Sus scrofa: one gene and its partner. The protein of the gene in region 1 purifies or fractionates together with the protein of each later gene. This does not show direct contact. Links are inferred from orthologs where the notes say so. Each region holds a gene or a part of one and is shown in the gene's direction. Other genes may lie near its edges.

Region 1 (2,957 bases):
TTCTTGAAAAAGATAGCACCACAGCCCTAGACTGAGAAACAGAGACAAAAATAACTTGAGTATTATCTAAGTCTGCCGCTGTTCAGCCTCAGAAGAGACACTAAAAAACATAAAGAGTGGCTGAAGGCAGGTAATAAGTAGAAAGACGAAAAAAGGAGTTGAAAGTCACAAGCTATACAGTTATTCTTTATATTATTGACAGTTGTTTAGATACATGAGTATTTGTTAGCCTTAGTGCTTCAAGAGAAAATTTTCCAATGGCCAACATTTCCCCTAATTTTAAACAGATACAGATGTGTCTTAGTCATGAACTAAATATCTAAAACATCTTTAAATCTACCTCTAGAGTAATATTTCCCTTCATCAGAAACTTTAATCTTTCTTTCCATGGGACAAAGGTAGAAAGGGCCTTGTATTTTGCCATTTCAAAATAAAATTCGGACTTAAAAATTTCAGACAACTTTCAGAAATTATAGAAGGAGCCCGAAAGTTTGTTTTGTCCAGGATCACTCACTACAAATGCTAACCTAAACCTTATATTTCAGAAACTCCATTCTCCTAGGAGGTAGATTCGCATGGATTACATGCCCTTTATTCCACTTCTAACACACACACATGCACACAAATTATTTAAAATTTAGCATTTTAATAGTTATTTCTTAAGTGTTTTAGCATAATCTTATTTTGAGTTGTGAGAGGAAGTTAGTGTCTAAATGAATATATTTTTAATAATATTGAGTTTTTGCTGATAAAGGGAAAGTTATCTACCTAGCATAATCTACCTCAAATAATATTCATTTGTATTTATTTTTTTAAAGTTTACATTTCTGCATAACAATTTCTTTTGATTGGGAATAAGCTCACTAGCATTCACTGCATGAGCTATGCATGAGCATGTTATGGCTGCCATATTTGCCTGGCAAAATAAATATCTTGTCGTTTTGCTAAGTGATAATTCTTTGACTCTTAAACGTGATTTTTAATAAATTATTATTAACATGTAAGAATAATTTTTAAAATTTATCCAGGGTTCAGTCTGCCTGTATAACTCTGAATATTATCTTGGGCTTCTACTATTTCCATAGAATAAATTGAGTCAAACTTTATAATTAACTTGCTGTCACTCAAAACATGTACTAAATAAATTTTCATTGAAGAGTCAGAAGAATTTGCAGATCAAATCTGGCCAACTATCAAATTTTGTAAAAATCTTAGTCTTATTCTTTTAGTCATAGGTTTATATTATGATTTTGCTCTGAGTGAGAAGATTACTGCTAGAACTCAATTCCATGTCCTTACTAATAGTGAATTAGTCCTATAAAAAAAGAGATCTTATTATAAGTAGAAGAATTTATTTTATTACAGTTTTAATTTATCCTTCCCCAGCAGTGTATTACTGATAATTGCTAGCATGTAAAATATTTTCATATTCTGGCATAAAACCATATATGAATGTAATTTATTGAAACTTTTCTGATCTTTATCTTGAATGACACCTGATAACAGGCTTTCAACATTTTTAACACAAATTATTAGAAGTAAATATTTATTATACACATTTTTATGGGTATATTAATTTAAAGAAGAAAAAAGGTTAATGATAGTCAACTACATAAATCAGTTTTGCTGCTATGAAGAGAATCTTGGAGGTATAAAATTCCAGCCTTCTTGCTTGACCTGCCCTGGGATGAAAAATATAACTGATTATTTCTTTTTCTTTTTTTAGCCTTGGAATAGATGGCTTTGGCCAGTCAGTTGGCATTCTTGGACGCCCTGCTACAGCTTACGGATTCCGCCCTGATGAACCTTACTACTATGGCTATGGATCTCGATAAAGTCATCCCTTTCCCTGTGTGCTCTCAGCTTAGAAGAGATCTGTGCAGTCTAGCTTAGCTTTGAATCTTGGCCTAATAATGCATGTTGATAATATTGCGGTCTGTGTTTCTTTTTACTGTTCCATGTGATTAGCTCCAGATTAACTTCAGCCCCTTCTGTCCTATGTTAAGTATACTTGATACTTGACACTGTTCACTTATCTTAATGCTGAGTAACATTTCCCCTAAGACTCAAAAGTGAATGCTGAAAAGCAACTAGACTGGGAAACAAACTCTACATTATGTACATTAATTGACTAATTTAATTTCTATTAAAAAGAAGCATAAAGTACAAATGAATTAGCAGAAGTCATGTGTTTCTATTTAATGTATGTCATTAGGAGTTTACATGCTTTTAGGAGTGCAATATGAATTTTATTTTTTCCTGTCCTTTTTCCCCCTTGTAAATCTCTTAAGTGGTTCATATATGTGCTACCTTTAAAATTTACAAGAATATCACCTTTTTTTTATTTCATGCCATGTGCCTGATATGTTGCTTCCCAAAGTTATTAACTATGGTTTTTTGATTAACAGTGGAACATGTACCATAACTATGTTCTATGAGTAGTTTCTTAAGCAATTAATTCAAATTAATTTTGTATTTCTGATTTTAATTTAAAAAACCTAGGACATCTATCAGTATACATGAAACTAGATTATTACTGGGTTTTAAAATTTTATTCATGAAATCTAAAGTATGGAAAAGTTAATTGTAAGTCTCATTGAAGAAAACTAAGGAACAAAATATTTTGCTCACTTAGATAACTGTTTCTAAGCGTTTTTGTAAGATTTAGGCAGTAAGAAATGGAAAGACAATAATGATTTATTAATAAGATTGTTTTTATAAGATTTAGGTAGTAAGAAATGGGGAGACAGTTGTGAAAAATAATTCATGTTACAATATGGACATTTTACTTGGAAAACAGAGCAAATAAAATAGATAACTGTAATCTACATATATTTCCTTGAGCACCTACTATGGAAGGACTTATATGAGACTTTGAAGGGAAAACATAGATCAAAGATATGAATTTAAAATCTTACTGATCTACTATACTATTTATTGTGCTTGATTTATACTTT
Region 2 (3,655 bases), on another chromosome or scaffold:
ACCTCTCCTCCTTCGTCACCAAGAATGTCAAGGAGATCGAGCACGTGATGAACCTGGGGAACCAGACTCGGGCGGTGGGTAGCACGCACATGAACGAGGTCAGCTCTCGCTCCCATGCCATCTTCGTCATCACCGTGGAGTGCAGTGAGCGTGGCTCAGATGGCCAGGACCACATCCGTGTGGGCAAGCTCAACCTGGTGGACCTGGCGGGCAGCGAGAGGCAGAACAAGGCAGGCCCCAACACAGCTGGAGGGACAGCCACACAGTCCACAGGGAGTAGCGGTGGTGGGGGAGGTGGCGGTGGTGGAGAGAGGCCTAAGGAAGCCTCCAAAATCAACCTCTCACTGTCTGCCCTGGGCAACGTGATCGCGGCTCTGGCAGGCAACAGGAGCACCCACATCCCCTACCGGGACTCCAAGCTAACCCGGCTGCTCCAGGACTCTCTGGGGGGGAACGCCAAGACCATCATGGTGGCCACCCTGGGCCCAGCGTCTCACAGCTACGATGAGAGCCTGTCCACCCTGCGCTTTGCCAACCGGGCCAAGAACATCAAGAACAAGCCCCGGGTGAACGAGGACCCCAAGGACACACTGCTACGGGAATTCCAGGAGGAGATTGCGCGCCTGAAGGCCCAGCTGGAGAAGAAGGGGATGCTAGGAAAGCGGCTCCGGAGGAAGAGCAGCCGCAGGAAGAAGGCCGTGTCAGCCCCAGCCGGGTACCCGGAGGGGCCGGTGATTGAGGCCTGGGTGGCGGAAGAGGAGGATGACAATAACAACAACCACCGCCCGCCGCAGCCCATCCTGGAGTCAGCCTTGGACAAGAACATGGAGAATTACCTGCAGGAGCAGAAGGAGCGGCTGGAGGAGGAGAAGGCGGCCATCCAGGATGACCGTAGCCTGGTGAGCGAGGAGAAGCAGAAGCTGCTGGAGGAGAAGGAGAAGATGCTGGAAGACCTGCGGCGGGAGCAGCAGGCCACCGAGCTGCTCGCAGCCAAGTACAAGGTAAGGGCTCCAGGGGTCCCAGAGGGATCTGGGCTGACAGGCTCTTCTTTGAGGGACTGTGATGTGGCCTGAAGCAAAGTGTCCTGCCCTCCTGCCAAATGCTCCCCTGGAGAAGCCAGGCAAATTCCTGCAATTCTGGGCTACTGGCAGAGCCTCCAAGGAGCACCTAGGAGAACACACACACACACACACACACACACACCCCAAAGCAGGCAGGCGGTCTCTCAAGCCAGTGAGCTTGGGCTGGCCTGACTTGCCGCCTGTCAGTCTCTGCCGGTGGCCCCCGTATTGGTCAGGTCGGTGGCCAGTCAGGCAGGCCCTCAGCCTCATTTGAGTGTGAGCTCCCACTCTTGCATCGCCTCCTCCCTTGGGACATCCTCCCTTCGAGGCACCATCAGCCCTCACCCCACTTTAATACCTGACATTTACATCTCGCGTCACAGTTTGTAAAATGCCCCTCACACATGATCTCATTGATCCTTACAGTAGCCATCTGGGGTACTGGTTCTTAAACCCCCATTTTACAGGTGAGAGTCTAAGGCTCAGAAAAGTGGCGTGACTGAGGGTCCATCCCACAAGGTGGCAGAGCCACACTGACATCCGTGGCCCTGGTGCTTTCTCAGTTCTTAGATGGCGAGGTGGGACTCTGAGGGGATCGGGCTCCCAGTGGAGGCAGTCAGCTTGGCCCACGTGGTGCAGGGCCGTTGCTTGGAGTCCTAGGAAGGAGGTCATGCAGAGGGTCGGAAAGAACCCAGCTCTGCACCGGAGACCTGGAATCAAGGCCAAGCTGGACTGCAGTGACCTCGAAGTTGCTTCTTCCTTTCTCCTAGTCTCAGTTTCCCTTTTTGTAAATTAGAAGCTTGGTCCTGGTCATCTCTGAGGTTCTAATCTGAGAAGCCAACCAACTGACCCCCACCTCCAGGCCTCATCCCAGTAAGATCCAGTTCTCCCATTGCCCTGGGAGACATCAGGGCCTCAGCATCCTTCCTGAGCTTAGCTCCCTCCAGGCCCCGGTGGAGCTAAGCTACAGAGGGACCCCCACCCCCATCGCCTGGCCAACCACAGAACTGTTCACTTTCAGTGCTGCAGATGCCACAACTCAGGTTCCAGGCATTTCCAGGTCCCTGGAGCCCTTAACACTGAGAGTTGGAGGAAAGACACATAGAACCAGACCATGACCTGGTGGGGAGAGCAAAACCTCACCATCTCTTATTCCCTCTCAGGAGCACAGGCTGGGGTGCAGGGGAGCCCCACCTGGAGATGGAGAGTGGCAGCCGCTGGAAGAGAGACTGATGGGCTGCGTGCCATTGTCTGTGTTATGAGAACGTGCTGCTGCACCAGGGCCTCTGGCCTTGCGTATTTAATATTTAATTCACCTCCAGGAGCTCCTCGGAGAAGGGATCAGGAGCCTGGCACATTGGGAGCCATCCTGCGAGAGGCAGGATGTAAAGGCAGGACAGTTAGGACTCAGCTGTCCCGAGGAGGAAGGGAATCCAGGCAGCTTGTGCTTTCCATGGGAATCTGACATGGGGACTCTGTCGTCAGTTTCATTACAAGAGCCCCCGCATCACCCCTTGCTCCCCTTCCCCACCCACCCTTAAAGCTGGGAGGCAGCAGATGCTGAGAGAGTGCACTTCAGCCCCGAGGAAATGGGTGGGAGGGATGGAGCAAGGGATCCAACGGATCCTTCCCATTGGGAACAAGGTGATCTCCCATTGTTGGCCACTCGCTGGTAAGAGTCTTGGATCCAAGGCCATGTAGGGCGTAGATAGCAGGGCAGTCAAGAGATCAGGGCGGCCAGCACCAGAATTCTTACATCAGAGGCATAAGCCACAGACACGTCCATCTTACAGCTGCCCGGGGCCTTGGAAAACTGAGGCCCAGGCTTGCTCAGGGCTGCACAGGTGAGTGAGGGAGAGCCGGACTCTTTACAGTGGGTCCAGCTTCTTTCCGTTTCACCCGGGTCCTGGTATTGTTGTCACCTGTGCTCCTTGATAATCAGAATAATTGGTTTTATTGCAAGTGTTTATATTTTATTCTCATGGAGTCCTCCCAGCAACCTCAAGAGATGGGTATTACTATTCCATTTCCGTGATGGAAACCAAGGCAGGGGAGGGTGAGTGACAGTGTCGGTGACCCGGGCTGATAGGTGACAGAACCAGGACTGGAACCCAGGTCTTCTGAGGCCCCCAGACCCAAGTCTGTTCTTCCCAAGTATTCTCGGATCCCTCCATGTTTGCTGTCTGTGTGACTCAGGGCGAAGGCCTTGGCCTCTCCAGGCCTCAGGTTTCCAGTCGCCTAATGAGAAGTCTGACACAGCTCCCTGTGGACCAGGTGAAATTGTCATCATGTGCCCGGCTTTCAGATATGACCGAAGCAGGAGGGATGCCTGGGACATTCCAGGGAAATGATTCCACATCCTGGAACTTCTTTTCACACCCAGCTCAGGACACACAGCAGCCAGCAAGCCCAGGATGAACCTAGCCAGAGGACCCCAGCCTCCCTAGAGTCCCTCAGGCACCGCTGGCTGAGCGTTGGGTGTTTCTAGGATGGAGGAAGCAATTTGAGGGCTCCCAAGAGATCCTCAGGGTAAAGAGGGGCGGAGCTTGTTAGAGAGAATCCCAGACCTGCCTGTTTCACGCAGGGTTGTGCTG

What was found. Proteins that work in one complex are often made in the same cells at the same time.
Region 2: the proteins of KIFAP3 (region 1) and KIF3C purify together in Homo sapiens (co-immunoprecipitation; 3 studies listed by BioGRID and IntAct, counting the BioPlex papers as one, with this or other methods). This does not show direct contact. The link is inferred for Sus scrofa from reciprocal best matches to the Homo sapiens genes KIFAP3 and KIF3C.

Annotation. Positions count from the first base shown.
Region 1 is NC_010446.5:81,102,806-81,105,762, forward strand, and holds the end of KIFAP3 (kinesin-associated protein 3), read left to right. Parts: intron 1-1,726; coding exon 1,727-1,835; 3' UTR 1,836-2,330; downstream 2,331-2,957. UniProt on the Homo sapiens protein: Involved in tethering the chromosomes to the spindle pole and in chromosome movement. Binds to the tail domain of the KIF3A/KIF3B heterodimer to form a heterotrimeric KIF3 complex and may regulate the membrane binding of this complex.
Region 2 is NC_010445.4:112,976,900-112,980,554, forward strand, and holds part of KIF3C (kinesin-like protein KIF3C), read left to right. Parts: coding exon 1-1,001; intron 1,002-3,655.